Oryctolagus cuniculus: one gene and its partner. The protein of the gene in region 1 purifies or fractionates together with the protein of each later gene. This does not show direct contact. Links are inferred from orthologs where the notes say so. Each region holds a gene or a part of one and is shown on either strand. Other genes may lie near its edges.

Region 1 (6,250 bases):
TCTCCCAGTGGGAACTGTGGCAGCGGGGAAAATGATGCCCTTCCGCAACTTCCTGAGAGTGAGGAAAGGAAGCCAGACTGTCCCAGGGACCAACTTTCCTGTCTGGGCTAGAACTTGAGCTTCTTCCTCTGCACCATGGGAGACAGGGGGCCCTGAGCCCTTCAGCTGCCTGCACAACCCCTGACAGCAGCTGCTGGTGACTCTCAATCCGCCAAATATGCTGCAGCCGGTTTTCTCCCAATTACAGCAAGACTGTCAGCCTCACTCGCCATGTCGTCATTTCTGGGTGGGAGCTTCAAAGGGCGTGGGCAGCAAGTGGAGTGAGCGCACCGCGGAGCACCAGCACCGGAAGGATTGGGCTGTTGGCTCCGAGGGTCCCCACAGCGTTGGGGCTGTGTACACACTGCTTTGCCTCTAGGCAGGAGGTAGCCAAGTACAGTGGCACCTCATTAGCCTAGAAATTTCCTTTCGAAAGCGGGAGCAGGATCCCAGAAGGGGTACCTGATTGGTGGCAACTTCGGGAGCATCTCAAGCAGTGTTTGGTCCAGTTTCATCTGTGTCCTCCAGGCTTTTGGTCCTAATTCTTTCTGGAGCTGATTGAGGCAGGAGTTCTGCCTGCTGCCAGAAGGTGAATTGAAGAATGTTCCCAGCTCCGGCTAAGGCTGGCTCTCCTCCAAGCCAGACACAGGAGTCTGGAGGAGAGGCAGCACAGAGTACTCTCCAAGGAGGTCAATGAATTTTCATTCCCCACCAGGACCCACAACTCCACCATCTGAGATCACTAGCGCCCCCATCTGACACACCCCCAAAGCAGCTCAATCAGTGTACTTAGGGACTGGCCCTGGTACTTTTGGAGATCTGGGAGAGCCCATGGCCCTGGCATTTTTTTGTAAGAATTAATTTACTTAAAAGGCAGAGTTAGAAACATCTTCTTTCCACTGGTTCACTCACCAAATGGCCACAATGTCCAGGGGCTGGGCCAGGCTGAAGCCAAGAAACTAGAACTCTGCCCAGGACTGCCACATGGGTGGCAGGGTCCAGGTTCCTGGGCCATCTTCCACTGTTTCCCAGGCATGTTAGTAGGGAACTGGATTGTAAGTAGAGCAACCCGCACACAAACCAGTGCCCATATGGGATGTTGGTGTCACAGGGGGCAGCTTAAGCCACTTTGCCACAGCGCTTGTCCTGGCCCTGGCATTTTGAAGTTCCCTCTCCTTGGCATCCCTCAGCCAGTGGCCTACCACAGCTGGTCACGCTGGCTGCTCAGCTGACACGGGATGGGCTCTAGCTCCACGTCTGGGTGGGGAGGTCTTTGATGATGAATGCTCGCTCAAAGCTTTACACACGCGGCCTCACTTGACTCCTCGTCGTTCTTCGAAAGAGAAAGGACACAGAACAGAACGCATTTGTTTGATGTTCCAGTCATGATACTGAGCCAGGAGCTGGAAGAAAGCCATGGATTGGGGTTTCTGCTCCCACGGAGTTTACACTGTGGTTTTCCATTTCGTCTTTCCTTTTTTTTTTTTTTTTTTTTTTTTTTTGAGAGGCGGAGTAAGAGGTCTTCTGTCTGTTGGTTCACTCCCCAAATGGCCCCAAAGTCCAGAGCAGGGCCGATCAGAAGCCAGGAGCTTCTTCCTGGTCTCCCACGTAGTTGTAGGGGCCCAAGCACTGGGGCCATCCTCTGCTTTCCCAGGCCATCAGCAGGGAGCTGGATTGTAAGTGGAATAGCCAGGACTCCAACCGTTGCCCATATGGGAATGCCGGCGCCGCGGGCGCTTAACCTACAACGCCACAGCGCCGGCCCTTATTTCGTTATTATTAATCCATGTAATAGACGAGGAAAGCGAGGCATTGACCTGAAGCCGGCAAAGAGGAAAACAAATACTACCAGCATCCTGCTGAGGGGAGCGCCGAAGCGGGGTTCCATTTCTCGAAGGCTCTCCGTGCGGCCCCTTTCCCTAAGTTCTGAGCTCCAGCAGCCCGCTCGCTGTTGCAAAGCTAAAGAACTGCCACAGCTGCCTGGGAGAGCTGATGAAAAGGTGGCGGGTGACGGACGGACTAGCCGGCAGCGAGCCGGGCACCCGCGGGCTCAGCTCCGAGGCGGGGCCTGGAGGGGGCGGGGCCCGCCCCGCGCGGCAGCCTTGCGTGTGCGCACGCGCAGGGGGGCGCGCCCTCCCTGAGGCACCGCCCACAGCCTGCGGACGTCGCTGGCGCGCGACGTGCTTCGCCGGATAAATGCGGTGGCGCCCCGCGTAAGAGCGCTTGGGTCTTGAGCGCTTGGGCGTTTGGACGTTTGGTGGCGTCGTGGCCGGCGCCTAAGCCAGCCTCTGTTCTTTGCTGTGCGATGGCGGATGAGGGGAAGTCGTACAACGGTCAGTGCTGGATCTCGTGTGTGGAGCGGACGATCTGGGGCCCGGGTGGGCGGCGCCGGCCTAGGCCGCAGCTCGGGGCGAGAGGCCGCGAGGGGTCCGGCGTCCGAGGGGAGCGGCGGCAGCGCGGGGCGGGTGGGGGCAAGGCGGTCCCCGGGGGGCCGGCCGGACTCGAGGTGGGCGCGCGAGTTGACAGGACTCCGGGGCACTGGCGTTGGGAGGACCTGCGGCTCGGAGCGGGCGGCTCGGGTGGGTTGACGGGATTTCCTTTGAACTTTGAGAGTGGCTGGTGCCTGTCAGTTCAGTTTGGCGGCCCGACTCTTCCTTTAATGTGACTCAGTGGGCTGCCCTGGTGCCCTGGTTTTGTTGTTGTTGTTTTTTTTTTTCTTACCGCGTCCAGTCGGCCTTGCCTTCTGGCCTGTGGCTTTGGCTTAATAGTTGAGACCGACACACCAACTGGATGTTTTGGTCCCGACACCCTACCGGCTGTGAGTCCATTATAGTGGTTTGGAGGGCCCGGCAGCCGAGTTTTGAAACCTGGGTTGTCTACAGCAAGCTGGAGGGAGTTAAACTCTCAGGCCTCTTTCCCAAACCCCTTAGTGTGGAAAGTAACTACCTGTTTCCTCTGTGTGTGTGTAAGAGAGAAGAGAGACTGTGTGTGTATGAGACAGACAGACCGTGAGATCATTACATACCAGGTGCTGGTAGCACAGTGCCCGGCACAGGAGAGTGCCTTCAGTGAGTGTTCACCGTACCCTCTGTTCATGTATTCTGCTTGGCCGGGGTTATCTGTTGGGGCTCATTATTTACAGAGTACCGGGCACTAGGTAGATGCGTTTTTCTTTGGAAGTCATGGACCATTTTTAAAGGAGCCGTTCCTACGGAGTTAGTAGGTTATGTTTATCTAGAGAGCATCTGGGGACCTTTCATTGAGCAGCCTAGGGTGGGGCTGCTTCTCTGGTGCCTGAGTCCAGGCCCGGTCTCCTGAGCTTTTAAAGGGCTTTTCTGGCCAAGGAAACGGAGCATCTCAGAACTTTCAGAGTGGCAGTTTAAGAACGTGGAGTTATTTTAGAGAGCCCTTTCAGTTGATCCTGTTGTAACTTTCATTCAAGCGGTATAGGTACATAACTGAGTGGCAGAATTCAGGTGGTTTTCAGGAGTCTGACTTGTGGGCAGTTACACTTTTGGGTTGGCCACACTTCTCCATTCTGGTTCTCTTCTCTGTAGTTCTGGTTTCTGCTTCGTTTTTCAAAAGCCCTGCACAGTCTCCCAATAACTTTTCCCTGATGATGTCATCCACGGTTTTCTGGAGGTGGCCCCTGTGGTTCTTATGTTCTCTCCCAACAGTGAGGCACTGTGATTGCCATATGGAGGTGCTGGGAGCAGTGGTGTTAATAATTCGTGTGCCTGTTTCTAACCGTAGAGTACGATGACCGTGTTAGTTTCCCTCAAAGAAGAAAGAAAGGCCGGGGTCCTTTCCGGTGGAAGTATGGTGAGAGTAACCGTCGCTCTGGAAGAGGTGGTTCTGGTATCCGGTCTTCCCGGCTTGAGGAGGATGATGGAGATGTAGCAATGAGTGACGCCCAGGATGGTCCCCGAGTACGATAGTAAGTGACCAGTTCGTCTGGGTTATATTAGTGACCCCCTAGATTATATAGCCCTCTTAGTGGCCATGTCATTTCTCTTCCCACCTGGAAGAATAAGAAATGCCAGGACCAGTTTAAATGGTCCTGTACAGTGCGGGGACAGTCTTTGAGAAAACTTTGGTAGCACATATGGACATTTTGCTCTGCCTCCTCACAGCACCCCCTATGCTGCCCGACCCAACCGCCGGGGCGACACTTGGCATGGTCGAGAGCGTATTCATGTTACTGTGCGGAGAGACAGAGCTCCTTTAGAGCGAGGAGGGGCCGGCACCAGCCAGGATGGGACCTCCAAAAACTGGTTCAAGATTACGGTGAGTACTGTGGGAAACAAAGCGGTACAGGGACAGGGGGACCTTGCTCAGAGTACAGGTGTTTGTTATTCCACAAAAATCTGTTTTCTTGGCCCTTTACTGCACAATCAGGTGTCCTTCCTTTCTCTCTCTCTCTTTTTAAATATTTTATTTTATTTATTTGAAAGAGTTACAGAGAGAGGTAGAGACAGAGAGAGAGGTCTTCCATCCGTTGGTTCACTCTCCAGATGGCCACAACGGCCGGAGCTGCGCCGATCGGAAGCCAGGAACTTCCTCCAGGTCTCCCACTCGGCTACAGTGGCCCAAGGACTTGGACCATCTTCTGCTTCCCCAGGCCATATCAGAGAGCTGGATCAGAAGAGGAGCAGCAGGGACTAGGACTGGTACCCATATGGGATGCCAGCGCTTCAGGCCAGGGCTTTAACCTGCTGCGCCATAGCGCCAGCCCCCATCCTTTCTCTTAAGGGTCAGTATCTTAGAACACTTTAGAACAGGTTCAGAGAAGGCAAGGCAGGGAGTAGGTAGAATGGGACAGAAGGGAGATGTAACTGTAGTCAGAAGGCAGAGGAGCTCCTCTGGATGTCTCCAATTGGCTGAGGCTGAATATGGGGTTTGGACTCCCTGAAGTTCTGAGGGTACAGACAGGCACAGTATAGGTACTATCTTAAAACTGGCCGGCGCCGCGGCTCACTAGGCTAATCCTCCGCCTAGCGGCGCCGGCACACCGGGTTCTAGTCCCGGTCAGGGCGCCGGATTCTGTCCCGGTTGCCCCTCTTCTAGGCCAGCTCTCTGCTGTGGCCAGGGAGTGCAGTGGAGGATGGCCCAAGTGCTTGGGCCCTGCACCCCATGGGAGACCAGGAAAAGCACCTGGCTCCTGGCTCCTGCCATCGGATCAGCACGGTGCGCCGGCCGCGGCGGCCATTGGAGGGTGAACCAACGGCAAAGGAAGACCTTTCTCTCTGTCTCTCTCTCTCTCACTGTCCACTCTGCCTGTCAAAAAAAAAAAAAATCTTAAAACTTAGATCAAGCAACTTATTGTTTTGAAGAATAAGAAGTGTGTAAGTAGACAGAAAAGAGGTTAAGGAATCCATATGTCTCAAGTGAAAACCCTATGATTGGTTCTTTTCTTTAGAAAAACTTTTTTTTTTAAAGATTTATTTTTTTTTTAAGATTTATTTTAGTTATTTGAAAGACAGAGTTACAGAGAGAGGTAGAGACAGAGAGGTTCTTCTGTCTGCTGGTTCACTCCCCAGATGGCCGCAATAGCCGGAGCTATGCCATTCGGAAGCCAGGAGCTTCTTCCTGGTCTCCCACATGGGTTCAGGGGCTCAAGCACTTTGGCCGTCTTCCACTGCTTTCCCAGGCCATAGCAGAGAGCTGGATCGGAAGTGGGAGCAGCCGGGACTAGAACTAGTGCCCCTATGGGATGCCGGCGCCTCAGGCCAGGGCTTTAACTAAACGCTGTGCCACAGTGCCGGCGCCCCCACCTTTTTTTTTTTTTTTTTTTTTTTTTTTTTTTTTTTTTTGGACAGGCAGAGTGGACAGTGAGAGAGAGAGACAGAGAGAAAGGTCTTCCTTTGCCGTTGGTTCACCCTCCAATGGCCGCCGCGGCCGGCGCGCTGCGGCCGGCGCACCGCGCTGATCCGATGGCAGGAGCCAGGAGCCAGGTGCTTTTCCTGGTCTCCCATGGGGTGCAGGGCCCAAGCACCTGGGCCATCCTCCGCTGCACTCCCTGGCCACAGCAGAGGGCTGGCCTGGAAGAGGGGCAACCGGGACAGAATCCGGCACCCCGACCGGGACTAGAACCCGGTGTGCCGGCGCCGCTAGGCGGAGGATTAGCCTAGTGAGCCGCAGCGCCGGCCTTTTTTTTTTTTTTTTTTTTTTTTTTAATTCAAAGGCAGATTTACAGAGAAGCAGAGAAAGA
Region 2 (6,221 bases), on another chromosome or scaffold:
GCAATTCCACTTCTAGGTATCTATGATGTGCCCTCACCCCCAAAAAAGTGTACACAGTTGTTCACAGAAGCATTATCTGCAATCACCAAAAAGTTGAAAGCAACCAAATACCCATCAATGGATGAATGAATAAATAAAATGAAGTATATCTTTAGAATGAAATATTACTCTGCAATTTGAAATACTGATACAGCATGGAGGAACCCTGAAAACATTATGCTAAGTGAAAGAAGCCAGACACAAAGGACTACGTAGATTATGATTTCATTTATATGAAATGTCCAGTCTAGAAAAATCCATACAGACAGGAATTATATCGGTGGTCACTGGAGCCTGAGTGAAAAGACAACGGGAACTGAATGGTAGTAGGAAAGCAGTTTATTTCCTGAATATTTTAGAATATTTTAAAAATATTATAGTTTTGTGGTAATGCTTACATAACCCTGTGAGTACATCCACTGAATTGAAGACTTTAAAAGAATGAATTCTATTGGATATGAATTATATCTCAATAAAGCTTTTTTAAAAACTATTTAATTTTAACTAGGTGGTTCTCAATCAGAGATCTGAGAGGAAGGGACACACAGTTCTGGTTGTTTAAGATTAGTCCTGCTCAAGTCCAGAGTAAGGCAAAGATTCCAACAGGGATTTAGGTAACTTCCAGCGATTTTCATCTACACTTGACCAGGAGAGCTGGCTGCACAATACCACCTCAAGCAATTTAATCAACCCAATATATTGCTCCTATGATCTGTTATCCCAGGATCCCTGTTTCCTGAATTGTACTGATACCTCTCTCAATACACCAATAGTTACCTAATCTATCCCAATTTCAAACTCTCAAATACATAGCTACCAAATCTCCTCTGCAATAGGTAGGGAAATAATGTGCCTTAAACAGGGACCATATGACAGGCAGTGACACATTTAAATATTACAGCAATATTCTGAAATATATACTAATATTATTATTTCTATTCCATATATCAGGGGACTGAGTAATGCAATCACTAGGCAATTTGGCCAAAGTCACAGAAATAGTCAGCAGTGTTGTCAGGATTTTAACCCAGACTGATGCTAACAATGTGTTTGACCAAAATTCCACTCCATGTTCCAAGAAAAGCCCTTTTACTCCCTTCTGAGTCATTCTCCCAACATTTTGCACAAATGTAGTTATCTAGGAAAAAGCAATTCTGTTTCTTATTCACCTGGTTCCCACCCGACTCCCTAGTCAACAAGTTTTCTTATGGTTTAAATTCACTGCTCTATCCTAACAAAGCCCAGCATTGGTTTCTCCATTATCAGTTTACCAAGCCTCCCACGTCTGTAGCACACTAATGTAGCAATTCTTGCAGTGTAGCACAACATTCTTTGCAAAAAGTCAGTACAAAAAACTTTGAGGTCCTGCCCCCACTTCTCATTCAAATCTCCCTTTCCAGTATTCCCAGTAACCCCCTAGTTCCCAGCATTACTGACAACACCAATAGCTGCCCTTATAGTCATAAAAGAAGTAACCCAAACGATATGCATTTAGGTTCAGGGAAAAAGAAATAAAGGAAGACTTATAGAGGAGAGTGAACCTGCCCCGGTCCCTGAAGGGGAGCTACACATAGGTAGTGAACATTCTAAAATAAGAAGAGTATAAGAAAATTCATGAATAGCAGAGTTTCTAAGAGCAAAAACTTTGGGGTCAGACAGTATGGGGTTAAAATCCTATGTCCACTCGGTGTATCATTCTAGCCAATTAACTTCTTTGAACTTCAGTTTCAATTCTTTAAAATCTGGATAATAATATCTACCTCTCTCGGCTTGTAAGGATTGAATGAAACATGAAACAGCAGCCCACAATAAAGACAATAACCAGTAAAGCAGTAAAGAGTCCCTTTTGGCAAATAATAGTAGTTAATTTTGCCAGTGTTTGTGAATTTGGGAGAAATCTGAAAAAGACAAATTGAGAACAGACTAAGGTAGGTCTTCGAAGATTAGGAGAACTTTCCGGGGGACAAAAGAGATTAGAGTGATCACAGTTGGTGCATGGCGGAAAGAGAGGCGAAAAGATAAAAACAGAATAAGCCGCTTTAGAGAACAGGCAGAACTAGGAAAGTTATGTGGAATTATTTTGCAACTCATGAAAGCTTTATTTACTGTCCAGCACCCCCATTACACTTTATGCTTCATGAATATATGCGTTATGTCTGCTTTATTCACCACTCTATATGCAGAACCTTGCACAACGTCTGGCATCATAGTAAATGTTTAATAAATATTTGTTGAATGAATGATGATGCTCGGGATAGGGGAACGAACATTCCAAGGACTCCAGTAGAGATGACGGAAAGAATAAGGAGGACAGACTGGAAGTGCAGAAAAAAAAAAAAAAGACTAAAATCTGGGCTTCCAAGTGTTGAAAGCCTATAGTGTGTCGTGATATTCATGTTTAATAAAATTCCTTATTTGTAATTGGAACTCAGCAAGGAGGTGGTGCCTGTTGAGGTTTATTAGCATATATGTAACGGCTGTGATGAGGTGGCAGGAGGGAGAGCTTAAAGTGTGAGACATCCGGACATTATGAGGTGGCAGGAGGGAGAGCTTAAAGTGTGAGACACCCGGACATTATGAGGTGGCAGGAGGGAGAGCTTAAAGTGTGAGACATCCGGACGTGACGTCAGCTAGTGGCACGCTGAGGAGGACAGAGAAGTCCTGTATGGTGGCCGTTGGAGCTAGACTTAAAAAGAGAGTGACGGGAAAAACAAATTAAATTGAAAAGATGAGAAAATTCAGAAGAGACTGGTCTCAGGAAGACTATGAAAGGCGTCAAGGAAGGAGCGACTATCGTCATGAGGAGCCACAAACCAGCTACTCATAGTAAGATCCGATTAGACAGCCGTTAAGTCGTGGATGACTTGAAGGTGGACATTCTTAAGGGATGGTGGGGCGAAGAGCCAGATTGCTGCCGTAGTTTTATCATTTGGGCTTGAATCTCTTCCTGTGTCCCTGAGCGGGTTAAATACTTTGTATCTTAGCTAAAAATGGATTTGATAAAAACAGCAGTTACCTCGACACTACTGGAAATAAGAGAATGAGTAAAAATGTGTGGAAAAGTACTTTGTACTTGGCATTTTATCTGTTGTTTGCTTTGTGTGGTAAGTAACCGGGAAAAGGTAGTGAATGGCATCGTGAATTAATTCTTGTCTGAGATCGGCAATATATTTTAAAATGTATCGTTGAAGAGAGACTCGAGTCTTTACCCTTAAATATGCCCAAAGTAAAATCTAATAGTGAATAATCTCCAGAATACCACCAAACTTTTTTGCTTCAATAGCCTAGGTTCTTTGAGAATGTTCCAGAACTAAGCGGCAAACGGTTCTCCAGCAGTCATGCGCAGTATGCCTTTCCCCAAGGTCCGCCCCCTTTTTCCTATAGACCATGGATCTTGTAGGTCTCCGGTTTCTCATTGGTCGTCAGTGGGCTTTGACCCCCCCCCCCACTTCCTGTAGCAAAGAAACCCCCCCTTAAGTGGCCCCTTTTGATTCGACCCAAGGTGTACCGTTTAAAAATTGGTATACTTTTCTTCAGAGTATGCAGTTAGCAAAAGTAAAGTGTTCTTTTTTTCTGTTAAACTACATAAATAAACATCTAGTAAATAAATAAGCCAGGTGGGAGGAATCAATCGGAACTGAAGGGAGGTAGACCTACGGTTGGAACGTCGGGTTGCTTTTAGCGACGGACCGATCTACTTCCGGAACCGAATTGGCTATTAGAAAATTGTGCGCGTTTGGCGGATTTCGGTCTCTTCCCAAACGTTTGATCGTTTCGCAGCCGAGGAGGCCACAGACGCGAGGAGGTAGTAACGCCGCCACTGGACCAAAGTGCTTCGGGCTCCTCGATGGCCACGTCCGTGGTGAGTGTCCGGGTCGCGATGGGGAGTCTCGGCGCCCAAGCATGGGCGGTAGAGGGGAGGGGCTCAGGGTTGGACTGGCTCCTGGTCACATGAACAGGTAGCGAATCAGGGTCTGACCAGCCTGGCTCCGGGGCGGGGTCCACTCTACTGCCCGCCCTCCGAAAGTTGTGCCGTAGTATTTTGGTCCCGGAAAGGATAGTTAAATCCGGAGAGTGGAGAGGCAGGGTCTTAGTGTTTGTTTACGACTGAAACACTCTTCCCGATCTGATTCCCTAAAAATCTCTTTCGATCGCCTGAGAAACTGGCGATTCACTGTTATTAATTCAAGTAATACGCCAGGACCAGCGAATTTCTAGGCAAGAAGCTATTTGATCCTGAGTCCTGCGCAGCCCCCAATAATATTTTTCTTCTAATATTCTGCAATTCTTTGACAAACACCGGTAAATGTTTACATAGTAGAACAGTTGTTCAAGTGGAGCTACGTAGTTTTTCAGGTAGTTCCTTGAACTTCATTCTTTTTCTAATTTTTATTTTTTCCCTTTGAGCAGTTTTGAGTTTTGTCCTCACTTCTCCCTTGAAAGGAGAACTGAACACGTTCTTAGTTTACTCACTAGCTTCCCTTCCCCCTCCTTTTAAGGTTCATACAGCGTCGTGTTTATTAGGGTGGATGTTTTATTGGAAATACTGAAAGTTCAAAGTAGTTAGTTGCCAGGCAACAGTAGAAGTTTATACGTGACAAATGAAAATAATCTAATTCACAAATCAGAGATGATTATATATTGACATGCACCTACAAATAGTAAAAAAAATTGTTGACTTTTGAGTTCTTACCATTATTAAGCTTAAATTTATATTGACAAATGAGGACTGGGTATAGAGCAGTATGGTGATTGAAATAAATCATTAACTTCGGTTGGTGGTTTTGTGTTAATGAGGGGTTGGAAAGGTGGTAATCTATACCTCCAAGTTTTTCTCCTAGGATTTCAAAACTTATGTGGATCAAGCCTGCAGAGCTGCTGAGGAGTTTGTGAACATTTACTACGAGACAATGGACAAAAGAAGACGGGTGAGTGTTATGGACTCTACAGCTGTTTATTAAATACCAGTTCTCTTTTGTTGTTGAGCCAGCTATTAGTGTGACTTCAGTAAATGATAACTGGACTTGTTCTTTAAAAACAGATTGCTTAGGGAACGATTGGTATAGTGTTTGTGGAAGTATAAGTTTGCTTTTACCTAGTTCTCCCGATCATGGGCAAGTTGCTATTTTTCTTAATGTCATTTTATGATTAGGTTTGTAAGTAGGAATTAATTTGAAAACCGCATTTATCATTGGGTTTATCATATATTTACTTAAATATGTTACCTTGTCTTAATACCACCATTTATCCAATATGGTTAAGGAAGGATTAGCACCAGTGAAAGGATCTGTCATTACAGGGAATGCTTCCTGATTTGCCCCCTTTATTTCATGTATTAATAGGTAATTTCTGATTAAGCCTCATAACTATTGCTGGCACAAAGAGCATACACATAGCTAGGATACTTTAGTATTCAACAGACGAAGTTTTCACATCACCAGCATTTTCATTGTAATTTATCCCTGTGCCAAATCTTCTAAGTAATTATTTAGGTACCTGGGTGGTCAAATGGATCTAAATCTCTTAGCAGCATAGGACTGTGTTTTAGTGAACTTCTCTTCTGCAGATGCAAAAGTTGGTACTTTATCGATAAAAGCCCACCTTCTAAAGGCAGAAGATCAAAGAAGTCCCTGGTACTTCTGTTTGTTGATATAAGATGGGAAATGGGAAGAGGCAGTGGATGCTTATTGTTCCTTGTCTATAATTGTGCCTACTGTTTTCAAAAATAAAGTAGCAAAAAAGTGGGATATAGTTCATTATCAGTGTGAAGATAGATGTTGGCATTGGAACCCAAGTTAAATTATAGAATATTAAGAAATAATATTCCCTGTGACTCCAAATAGTTAACTGTTGAATTTTGTCTCATTTTGACTTTAATTTATTTGGTTCATCAGAGACTCTGCTTTAGCAAATACTCACAATTCTTTTGAACTAAGTAGACTAACAGAATAATAGCAATAAGGAATAATTCTTCCTAACACATGCAAAGATTAAATGATTCACATCTGTATAACCTCTGGGATTAAATTATAGTATGACTTGATTAACAAATTTATTAATTATCAGAGTTAGAAAAGGAAGAAAAGCTTGTCTGGGCTACATGTGCTTACAATTTGTGATCATTGGGGCCGGCACTGGCTCACTTGGTTAATCTTCCACCTGTGGCGCTGGCATCCGATATG

Evidence for each region. The genes of interacting proteins can lie anywhere in the genome.
Region 2: the proteins of NXF1 (region 1) and NXT2 purify together in Homo sapiens (co-immunoprecipitation; 5 studies listed by BioGRID and IntAct, counting the BioPlex papers as one, with this or other methods). This does not show direct contact. The link is inferred for Oryctolagus cuniculus from reciprocal best matches to the Homo sapiens genes NXF1 and NXT2.

Annotation. Positions count from the first base shown.
Region 1 is NC_091432.1:8,787,257-8,793,506, forward strand, and holds the start of NXF1 (nuclear RNA export factor 1), read left to right. Parts: upstream 1-2,167; 5' UTR 2,168-2,344; coding exon 2,345-2,372; intron 2,373-3,792; coding exon 3,793-3,976; intron 3,977-4,172; coding exon 4,173-4,326; intron 4,327-6,250.
Region 2 is NC_091453.1:83,963,442-83,969,662, reverse strand, and holds the start of NXT2 (NTF2-related export protein 2), read left to right. Parts: upstream 1-2,653; 5' UTR 2,654-2,767; coding exon 2,768-2,865; intron 2,866-3,819; coding exon 3,820-3,901; intron 3,902-4,054; exon of another isoform or gene 4,055-4,395; intron 4,396-4,675; exon of another isoform or gene 4,676-4,784; coding exon of another isoform or gene 4,785-4,787; intron 4,788-4,880; coding exon 4,881-4,967; intron 4,968-6,061; exon of another isoform or gene 6,062-6,221. UniProt on the Homo sapiens protein: Regulator of protein export for NES-containing proteins. Also plays a role in mRNA nuclear export.